Linked DNA regions of Bombyx mori. The protein of the gene in region 3 purifies or fractionates together with the protein of the main gene of each other region. This does not show direct contact. Links are inferred from orthologs where the notes say so. Each region holds a gene or a part of one and is shown on either strand. Other genes may lie near its edges.

Region 1 (4,252 bases), on a different chromosome or scaffold from region 3:
TGGAACTGAGGTACCAATATGAAGATTTAATTTTATATTCTTGTTCTGATTTTGAACATTTTTAGATGAAGTTTAAGTGTGCATTTCATGTATTAGTGCTTGTGTGTGTGACATGTACAAAATGTTACTTACTTTATATCTTCAAGGATATCTTCATACTCCTCTTCATCACGCAATTCATCAGGTGTTACCATGTTAAGAAGGCACAATACTTCAGTAGGTGGACCTGCTCCAGCCAAGGTCAAACCTGCCACTTGGATTTGCACTGGAGCTGCACCGGTCAGTGCTGAAAAGTATCCCATTTCTATTTAAAATCTTTTATAATTTCTATTCTAAAACTAAAACATAGGTCATATTCTGTATTAAAATTTACCTAAAGTTGAATTCTTTGCGCCTATACTGGCACGTTGCACAATCAACTTTTTATCTCCAAGTTGCATTCCATTTAAACCTGCAATAGCCTGTGAAAATAAAATTAATTTATGATTTAAAGTTTTTTTAAAAATTAAATTGGCCTTAACTATGCAAAAGCCAATAAATTAATAAATTGGGTGACATAATGATTATTTACCTGATCTGTCATAGAAATGTCGACATATTCAGCAAAAGCATAGCCTTTGCTCAACCCAGTTGAAGAGTCTTTCACCAAATTGAAGGCCCGGAGTTGACCAAATGACATGAGTAATTCCTTTACCTGTTTCATGACAAAATTAGTGAGCAAATAATAATCTTTTAATTCCCAGCATTGTATTAATTTACGTTACATATTCATAATGATCAGCATAGACATTTCTAATGCTAATGTTTTTTGTATTGTATGTTTGAATTGTTGTGTTCCCATTAAATCTGTTCATCAAAATGCAGCAAATTACATAAGTGAATTATGCTATCTGACCTGTGTCTAGCCGCATGTTAGAATCAGATGTGAATGGAAGAGACTTGCCTTGAAGTGCCGATGTCTCGTTCAAGTACAAGACGTATAGATGAGAATGAGAGACAACAGTGACACGCGGGCCGCGAATGTGCCAAATCTAAGCTAGGGAGGGCAGAAAGCAAACTATATCAGTGAGTTGTTTGAGAACATCCGAGCGTGGTACGCACACGCTCGTCCACGCTACGGGTACCTGAAAATACCTGAAACGGACCAAAACATAACGCGGCTCACTGCTGGCGTCACCGGGGCCTAAGTCCTGTCAACTGTTGAATCTCGGCCTGAAATTGTTGCGGCATCTAGTACGCTATAACTACCTACTGGGAACGAACAAACTCATGGTTCTTTTAATGTCCTAACATTACCTAAAGTAGGATTTTGAAATAACTATTATAGTCCAAAATACTTGAATTTGTCGATCTAAGAGAATTCTATGTTTATCATAACCAACATAATTATTATTTCCATTTTGTCTGGTCAAAACCTGTAACACACAACTCTACAAATCACAATGAGAGAAGAATGTTGTATAATATAACCATTTTTTTATTATCAAAAGGTTTCTTTTAGTGGGAAACATAAATCAACCATAATTTATGTGAATTGAGTTTTCATTTGGTTTAAAAATAAAAACTTTTTGGTAAGTAGTACTTATAAATAATAGCTTAATTTGATCACATCAAAAATACAGAAAATAAGTACCTCTACTTTAATCCAAAAACCATGTGTAGCTTTAAAAAACTCCAAACTTGATTTTGATCATGATGTGATTAAATTATGGTTTCTTGAATGCTTAATTTCAACTATAAATTTTAATAGATAAAACAAGGAACTTACTTGGTCCTCATTTAGATAATTAGGCAATCCCCCTATAAAGATCTTGTGTGGGGAATCAGGTACAACAGTGCTAATAACACCAGCTGTAACAAAATAATATTTGAATGAAGACACTAGTAATGAGTATTTTAGTTGTAATTAATGCTGTTTCAAGAGTTTAAAAAGAGCTGTAGAATTATAACAACAAAATTCAGTTTATTTTAAATATTGCATTTTCTTAATAAAAAATAGCACTTTCAATCGAGTTCAAGACTCATTACTTGATAGATAAATCTATAGTATCTTCTAATGTAGTTTAAATGTATTTTTATAAGAAAAGTTGTTTGTAATAACAATATCACAATATCATAATTACTTACCAGGCACATTTATTGCTGGGTTTTCAGTGCCTGGCATAGGCTGGTAGTCATGTGGACGTCGAATCTTTAAGCTTTGCCCTTTAAAATTAATACCGTCAAAAGCCATTGCCTGTGTCGTTTCATCAATTGATCTGAATTCAAGGAATGCAAAATTTTTATCTAAATTAATCTGGCAAGCCAAAACAGGGTTGCCGGCGGCCTGGGCCAGGCCCGATAGATGCATTTGTTGATTGAAAAACTCCATTGTTTCTTCTTCGGTGACGCCAAAGGGTATGTTGCCGACATATAACCTTCGCGCTTGACGTGTTATAGTCGAACCCACCACCGGCACGGCAGCTTGTGGTGTGTCGGCGACAATATTGGCAGGAATCTGACCCGCCGCTTGCATCGCCTTGTATTGTAATGGCGTGATATGCTCGAATCCCGGCGGCGGTACATCCCAGTAAAGCGAAGGCTTACGTCTACGTGAACGTTTATTGGGCGATCTTGATCTGCTTTTTCTTTTTTCTCTTCGTTCTCTAGATCGAGATCTAGAACGTTTTCTTTCTCGGGATCGAGACCTTCGTCGGCGGTCTGTAATATTTGTGAGCATTTTATTTTATAACCTCACTTCAAAACTTTACAAGATAGATATGTGAACTACTTACCTTTATCTTCCCCCATCTTATTTACGGAAATATGTAATACAGTAACTATTTCTTGAGATAGTAATAAAGGCGCTTCAGCGTTATTAGTATAATTAGCGTTGGCATCAACATAAAATCTAAGTCAGTTTCCGTGAAATGGCGTCTGTTATTTTTTTATACGGACGTTGGTTACTCGACTTTTGGCTAATGATGCTATAGTGAATTTCCTGATACGTAATCATCACTAAAATCCTATGCTTGCCCTAGGACAAATTTCGGACGCGAACGCAGAACTGGTGTTTCCTCAAGTATAAATGTGTAATAATGATAGCTAATTAATCATTGATGTGCCTTTGGAAAACATACAGCATTGTATTATGAAGAAGCAGTGTGTACTTAGCTTAGATTCCTTGTCTATGTCCAACCATAGACAGTCAATTTAGTTCCATCTTTAGCCGCTAGGTGCTGCCAGCAAGTATAAAGGGAGCGCAGCCATCTTTGATCTTCATAGCGTTGTGTACTTTCGTACTGTGAAGTCGCAAGTCCACAAATATTTATTCGACTTCTTATTAATTGCAAAAAATATTTATTTTGTGTTTCTATGAGTGTTATTTTGCAATCATTACGAGTATTATTTACCAATCCTATCATCGGACGCCATGAATCACGCGTCATCTGTTGGAGGTGATGTTGAGTCAAGCTCCATAATTTCCGAGAGGGAAGATGTCCAGGCGAGACGCGATGGAGACGCCTCGCGTTCGAACAGCTCGTCAAGCGAAAAAGAACAAAAGGAGTCTCTGCGTAAGAAACGACGGGATTCAAAGGTAACGGTCGATCTTCGAATCGGCTCGTTATCCCACCAGGTCAGTGACGTTGTAAATCTAATAATGCATCAACTGTGTGTAACAATTGAATGTAACGAAAATTGTTGTAAACAAATTGATCTCGTCAATACGGAAATTTTGACAAAAACACAACAGATTTAAACTAATAATCTTTGTAACATAATTACTGAAAACTTTGACAAATCGTCTCCGTCGTACAAGTTACCCGTAAAAAGCGTTTTAAATTGTATACGGAAAAAAGGGCCGTATGTATAGAAATAAGACGTCAAAGTTTAATTTCCGTGGTCTCTAACAAAGTATCCTGTTGCCAACGCGCCACTCATTGAGGAATTTTTGTTTGATAATAGTAAATTGAAATCTATTCAGTCCCTCGGAGGGCTACAATCCTATTTGTCACGATCTCGTACAAAAGGTAAGCCAAACATTATAAACAATCATAGTCCGTAACATCTGGCACAATCCAGAGGGGGGCAATTGAAGACACCGACGGCACTGAGGCACTGAGTGCCACCAAAATTGTAATAATTTGTAAACCATGTATGGTTACCAAATACCGTAAAAAAAAAAAAAAAAACAACAAAAAAAAAAAAAAAAAAAAAAAAAAAACTACCTTTTTCTGCGGAAGAAAAGCGACGGATCAATGCGTCCAATTTT
Region 2 (4,348 bases), on a different chromosome or scaffold from region 3:
GTGGAGTTCTAAAGATGCTTTGAGCTGCAGATAAGAATTTGCATTCGACAATAAAGACAAACCTAAATCTCGAGGGCATTATTATAAATAAGTTACCTATACTGGCATTGCAAAACATTGGAACCACCACATTTTCCAAATTTTTCTTGAGATCTTCTGCGTTTTTGCGTGCACTGTAATTAGGAATAATAGTATCATAGACACCGAATTGACAATAAAAAAGGGACACAATACTTTATTAAAATATGTTTATGTTTTGCTTAATAGCATAGTACAAAAAAAAATACATTATCATTTAGTATTTGTTTTAATTATTACTAGATATATTTTATATCCTATTCAATATCCCACAAATAATGACAAATACACTTTACAATATTTAAACATAATCGTTTATTAAGCACAACCAATCAATAATTACCCAAACCATTCTAAATGTACACTTTAAATATCAAATTTGTTTTTGGTACTAACCAATGATGGAGTACATCATTTACAAGGTAAATGATGTGTAGTTTCTGAGTAAAAGCAGCACCAGTTTGAGTGACTTTTCTAAGCAGGTGTTGAGATATGACTTTGCCAGCATCATGGGATGTAGCATGTTGAAGTATCCAACCCTTTCCTAATGTTACATGTAAAAATAAAATACAGATTCAAAAATACAAAAAATAAAACTGTTTGTTCCCACAGTAGCAGTTAGCAGTATTTCGAGTATTTCTTGAGTTTGGGAACATGATGTTTGGTCAGTCTGAATAGACAAAAAAAAATTGCAAAATATTAGCTAAGATTTAAAAACGAAAATAATATAATTGTATATGGATTGATTAAATATTACATACAATATTCAAGAATGTAGAGTATACAGTTGAGTCATAAGTTATTCAGTTGAATTTAAAAAGTACCTGAAGAAATACTGTCCTTAGTGCAACTGTCTATTATTGGCTGTAGGATATTGTCAAGTTCACTAAGATTGATGTTGTTCTCATCAGCCATTATCTGTAAAGACTCCATCTGTGCCTTGCTGACAAGCTCATTGATCTTCACTTGCTGCTGTTGTATCAAAACCTAGAATGCATATTATTTAATTCATAGGAACTTATTGGGGTGTTTCATATGAAATATTGGAAAATAAACAATGTGTACAAATCTCAAAACTTAGTTTGAATTTCTAAATTCCAATAGTTACTGCATATATACGATCTATATAAATAATTAACTTATTTGTTTTCTTTAAACAAAATATCCAAATAGTGTCTCAATAAAATATATCAAGTTATTTCAGTGTACATTTCTTATTGCCTTAAATAGGTGAATGAACTGGCATTAAATGGTAACCATAATATAATAATATATCCTACCAGCCACCTTGATACATGAGGTAATAGCTATCACATCATTAAAACCAGAAACTCTTGCAGCAGAAATTAGTAGAAAGAGTATGGCTAATAATGACTAATAAAAATAATACTACTGGTAATTTTATGTTTATAATACAATGTTATTCCTTGACCATAGAGGTACTGTGTGAACATGTGGTATTTTTTGAAAAATGGTTTGATCCCAGCACAATCATCTCATTCAATATGAATGCACTTGGGCGTATTATCCATAAGGCTATGATAGCTTATTATGTTAATACCCCGCTTTTAATGTAGGTAATGCAAAAACAAAAATCTAATCTATGCCCAACTACTTTTGCATGAGTAGGTACTGTAGTCATAATAATAGTATACATAATAATGTAGTCTTAATAAATTCAATTTATAAACTACAATGCAAAAAAAAATGGTATCAAAAACAATAATCTTTAGTAACAAAATATGTTTTCCTTCTAGACCTCTATTTTACAGGTGGGAAGACTTGTTTGGCTTGATGTAAACTTACTTAATCAAACAGAAACACTATCATTACATCACACCACCAAGCAATTAAGATCATACGCATGTTTTTACTAATTTACTGTACATACTTACAGCATGTTGAGCATTTAGATTATTTTCTGACTGAGTAATCTGTTCTTTCAGCACATTGATCTGTGTTGTGATGCTGTCGATTTCTTGTGGGTGCTGAGGAAGGGGAGGCGGGGCAGAGTTGACTGCAAGCCACTGCTGAAGTACAGGTGCCGCCGCCATCGAGGCCGCTAGACCCAGCTGAGCAGGCGTCGCGCTGGCCTGTTGGGGCATTACATATTGCCTGTTCTGTGCCATATAGGCCCCGGCGGGAGCGGATGCCGCCTGCCCACCGGCCGTTTGCTTTAGAACTATAAACAGCGGAGGTTCACTTAGATTGGTTAAAACAAAACGTATCAGCTATCATTGATTATGGTGGATAGCTTCTGTCATCAGTTTTGTTATGCTTACTTGCTTGTTCTGTCGTCACTTTGTATTGATAGTAGTTGAAGTACTCGCCGCCATACAGGAAACTAAATTTTGGGTTATTTTTTTGTTTGTTCTTGGTCATCTTCTCAAATTCCGGTCCATTTCTTGCGACGAATTGCGCTAATTTGTCGATTATGTTGCGGAGATCTTGATCTGAAAATATATATTTTATAGTAATTAATGTTTATTTATAACTGGATTTACTTGAATGCAAATATATTGTTATGTGTGTGCGGTACCTTGCGGTGGCTGTGGCAGTTCCATTTTTATCGTTTACGAGGTTATTGCTTGATGTAGCTTAGTGTCTTAAACTAATAGACTATTATTACTTTAACGACATTTTAATGTCATTTTACCAGAAAATAACGATCTAAAAGAGATGTTATCACTATTTTAATTCTTTATGCGATTTATATATTGCTGTATATGATTAAAACACATCGGCCATTTGTAAATTGTTGGCTTTAATATTTTATTACTAGACTCAAATACTAGGTGTATAATCTATGCTTACAACTGTCAGTATATATAATCTTACTCTATGCTGTCAGTGTTTCATAAATATTATGTGTCGTGTCTATGGTCACTATTGAACTCCTAGCGCATTGACGATCTTGTATGTGTACGGTAATAATGTTATGGTTATATTTTTACAAAATATTTGGTTTATACCTACAAAATTGCTGTTTAACATATAGAAAATTATAATTTATATTTTTATTATTTTGTTTTTATTTTTATCAAACAAATTCACCCATGTCAATATACGGGAGTGAATAAACTATTCAAAGGCATTTTGTACTCATCTCATTGTCATCTCGGGAATTGATATTTTTTCCAAACCTTGGTAAAAATAGATGTCTGTAGGCGCAAGGTCTGGTGAGTATGATGGATGATGCACAACTTCTAACTCCAGTTCTTGTAGCTTAGACACTATTTGTTGTGCTGTATGAAGTCGAGCGTTGTCGTGTAGGAGCAACGCGGTCGTGCAGTTAACTAAGGCTGGCAAGAGATTCCCGAGTTTCTTCATCTTTGTGTCCAGTTCACATCCGCAGTAATTCCGGTGCCATTTGGTAAGAAGCTATGTTGAATTATACCAGTAATACACCACCATATAGTGACCATGAATTTGTTTGCATCATTAATGTTGGGATCAGTTTGTGCGACATTGCTACCGCGACGGAACTAGTGTTCCGTAGTTTTATGTATTTTTAGTCGCGTCCATATTGATTAAAAACATACCAAAATATAATGAAAGCAAAACACTATTAAATAGACAAATGACTGATTTTGAAAATAGACTTCCATATTTTTTTAATTAAATTCATTTGTATTTAAAATTGATTGCCACACAATTGGGCAGTGTTCGACAATTCAAATGGGCAGTGTTTGATGATTTAAATGAGCAGTGTTTGCAAAAGATAAGTTATAAGGTAAGGACCTATTAAATTGTAAACGATGTAAGGTGACAAAAGCCACGTATTAGTGTACACTCTACGATAGCCACGCCAGTGAAGAACTCCCCCGAGTTAGTATTATTGTTAAAGGTGGAGAGTAGTTAAAGTGGTTTTTTCACTTGTTACCGCAGAGATTAAATTATCTCTGCGATTACAAGTGAAAAAACAAAAAAGTGAATAAAACGACCCCATTATGATTTTTTCAACAGTAAATAATTTACACTATCTACAGTCCGCGCGCGAGCTCCGAGGATTTTTTTAAAGGAATGTTGACGTAATGAGCTAGTGTTGTAATTAGTCGATATTGCGCTATCGATACTAACACATCTTAAGCCTCCGTGCGAGTGTAAATTATAAAATATGAGGGTATTATGTACTTGAAATAAAAAAAAAACAATTGATCACGTATGAATTTAATTTAATGTACTGATACTTATTGAACAAAATGAACGTGAAATCTTGTTAATTACTCTCGCAATCAGATTAATCAGTAGTTGAAGAATTTGATGTACT
Region 3 (2,727 bases):
ATAATTATTTTAGTGCACCGCGTAGGGCACTGGTGACCTACATGGTAGTCAAAGGGTTAAAATATAGCGCATTGTTCGCAATACTCACGAGTACGCATCATCCTCAGTGACTCGTCTCTGTTCGGGCGACTCTCTAGCACTCGCCTCCCGCACCTCGCGCAGCGCCTGGAATCGTGTAGGAATACCATATATTAATACGTGAAGGAAAAACTTTGTACCCCTTTTTACGAGAATTTCGCGGACGCAGGAGTATGAAATTTTCCACACTTATAGAGAATATAGAGAAGAAGTGCACAATGCTAATATTTTTTTAAATTATACCTCTAAAATATTATACATTAAATCAATAAAAAAAAGCATTATACACACTACCATGTATTTGACGCACACAAGCATGCATACTATTTATTTACTGTCAAACTTTTGTTCTTGACGTCTGTGGTCAAATTGAGAATAGATTACATATTGTTTGTCATTATTAATATTTTTCTATAGTGTAGTCTTGGCTCCAAACCTCGCATGAGACAGAACTCATGAAGAGGCAAAGGGGGAAAATGAAGCGTTTAGTGTGGAGCACATATCTCCCATCACCCTCCCCCACTGCGGGACCACTAGTACTTAATAAAAGCGCTTTTCGTTATAAATTGAAGATCGTGTGAGTAGTGTAGTGTAGTGTAGGGTACCTTCTTGATGAGTTTCCGTCGGTAGTGCTGTATCTGCTGCGCGGGCGCGAGGCCGGGGCGCGGCGCGCGGGCTCCGCCCTCCAGCTCGTCGGCGTACTTCAGCACGCGCACCTCGATCTCGCGCAGCGTCTCGCGCTTCAGCGTCTGCTCCTCCGACCTGCCCCCCGACCCCTCAACGAACTTAGTTTCGTAAAGTTATCGCGGTCAAAATCTGATAACCTTTCTACAAGTTGTGTGATATTTTATGCTTATTAAGAAATCACTTTATATGTACTTTCTTTGGAATCGTTTCACTCCGTACAACGTAATGTAGGTACATCTATGTACTGCTCCATATTTATACATATAAATAAAATTGGAGTGCCTGTTTATAATACTGAAATAACCGCTTTTCACTACATTCATATGAATATATATACGGTACATACGCCAAAATGACATTTTTTACAATTTTTGTCTGTCTGTCGGTCTGTCTGTTTGTTCCGGCTAATCTCTGGGACAGCTGGACCGATTTTGATGAGACTTTTACTGATAGGTAGCTGACGATATAAGGAGTAGCTTAGGCTGCTTTTTTAGGCTAGCTTCGCCCCACGGCGTCACCCGCGGTACAACAATAACTGCGGGGATCGGAGGGATCGGGGGAGGGAGGGGGGGGGGGAGAGAGAGAGAGAGAGAGAGAGAGAGAGAGAGAGAGAGAGAGAGAGGGAGAGAGAGAGAGAGAGAGAAAGTATTCTTTATTGTACACCAAAAAACAAATAAACAGTGCAATACATTAAAAACAAAAAAGTACAATTGGCGGTCTTATCGCTAAGAGCGATCTCTTCCAGACAACCATCAGGTGGACAAGAATCATTTGGAAACGAACTACGCGCGGTGTACCATTCCAGTGAAATACATATACATATATGTAATGTTTCCGAAGCGAAGGGAGGATATTTAATACTATATTGTATCTATATCTTGGAATATAAGCGAATAGTGCGTACGTGTCGGGTGCGGGCGCGGGCGCGGGGGGCGGGGCGGCGCGCTCGTCCAGTGCGGGCGGGGGCGGGGTGTGCGGCGCGGCGGGCTCCACGCTCTCCCAGCGGGACGGCACGAACCCGCCCTGCCCCGCGCCCTCCTCGCTGTCCGGCTCCAGCGGCACGCCGTCAATATCTTCATCCACTGCGAACAATACAAATCAAAAATAATATTTTTTTATTTATTGCTTAGATGGGTGGACGAGCTCACAGCCCACCTGGTGTTAAGTGGTTACTGGAGCCCATAGACATCTACAACGTAAATGCGTCACCCACATTGAGATATAAATTCTAAGATCTCAGTATAGTTACAACGGCTGCCCCGCCCTTCAAACCGAAACGCATTACTGCTTCACGGCAGAAATAGGCAGGGCGGTGATACCTACCCGCGAGGACCCACAAGAGGTCCTAACACCGGTAATAGTTTCTAAAATGAACGTGCGCAAACACCACGTCGAGTTAATGTGGGCGCGTGTACATACCGGGCACGCCGTCGATGTCCGGCGGCGGCAGCGCGGGCGCGTGCGGCTCCCGGCCGGCGGCGAGGCGGCGCAGGGCGGCGCCGTCCAGCGGGCCCCGGGCGCCGCCCTCCCACGACGAGGAGGACGCGTCGGAGCGCGGGGACACCGCCTCCTCCACCGCGCCGGCGCCGCCCGCACCCGCCTCGGTCGAGGGACGACGCTCCTGTACAACCACAACTCATTACCATGTATGAACATTACAATAGTGTCTGTATATGAACGAACAAGAACCAAGTTTTTTTTTTAATTTATCCATTCTTTTATAATAAAAATAAGCTCGTGTTTAAATATGGAATAGAATTTATTAATAAAATTTGACTAATTTAATAATTTAAAAATTAGTATAATAATATGTAAAGTTTTTATGAGATAAAATATTAGCATTATTATTTTATTTTATTTTTTTTACAGATATTAGACTTTTAAGTATCTTTTCATATTGTAAATAAAGATAATAATATACTTTTCTGGCAAAGCATATTTTTGAACAGTAGGCGAAATCGT

The links.
Region 1: the proteins of U2 snRNP-associated SURP motif-containing protein (region 3) and U2 small nuclear ribonucleoprotein auxiliary factor 2 purify together in Homo sapiens (affinity purification with mass spectrometry; 3 studies listed by BioGRID and IntAct, counting the BioPlex papers as one, with this or other methods). This does not show direct contact. The link is inferred for Bombyx mori from reciprocal best matches to the Homo sapiens genes U2SURP and U2AF2.
Region 2: the proteins of U2 snRNP-associated SURP motif-containing protein (region 3) and calcium homeostasis endoplasmic reticulum protein purify together in Homo sapiens (affinity purification with mass spectrometry; 4 studies listed by BioGRID and IntAct, with this or other methods). This does not show direct contact. The link is inferred for Bombyx mori from reciprocal best matches to the Homo sapiens genes U2SURP and CHERP.

What each region holds. Positions count from the first base shown.
Region 1 is NC_085123.1:10,727,634-10,731,885, reverse strand, and holds the start of U2 small nuclear ribonucleoprotein auxiliary factor 2, read right to left. Parts: upstream 2,916-4,252; 5' UTR 2,791-2,915; coding exon 2,775-2,790; intron 2,701-2,774; coding exon 2,128-2,700; intron 1,852-2,127; coding exon 1,769-1,851; intron 695-1,768; coding exon 572-694; intron 462-571; coding exon 374-461; intron 287-373; coding exon 133-286; intron 1-132. UniProt on the Homo sapiens protein: Plays a role in pre-mRNA splicing and 3'-end processing. By recruiting PRPF19 and the PRP19C/Prp19 complex/NTC/Nineteen complex to the RNA polymerase II C-terminal domain (CTD), and thereby pre-mRNA, may couple transcription to splicing.
Region 2 is NC_085128.1:5,793,471-5,797,818, reverse strand, and holds the start of calcium homeostasis endoplasmic reticulum protein, read right to left. Parts: upstream 2,944-4,348; 5' UTR 2,643-2,943; coding exon 2,618-2,642; intron 2,532-2,617; coding exon 2,361-2,531; intron 2,261-2,360; coding exon 1,974-2,260; intron 1,066-1,973; coding exon 903-1,065; intron 623-902; coding exon 475-622; intron 174-474; coding exon 97-173; intron 1-96. UniProt on the Homo sapiens protein: Involved in calcium homeostasis, growth and proliferation.
Region 3 is NC_085111.1:15,849,639-15,852,365, forward strand, and holds part of U2 snRNP-associated SURP motif-containing protein, read right to left. Parts: intron 2,387-2,727; coding exon 2,185-2,386; intron 1,848-2,184; coding exon 1,670-1,847; intron 841-1,669; coding exon 684-840; intron 166-683; coding exon 89-165; intron 1-88.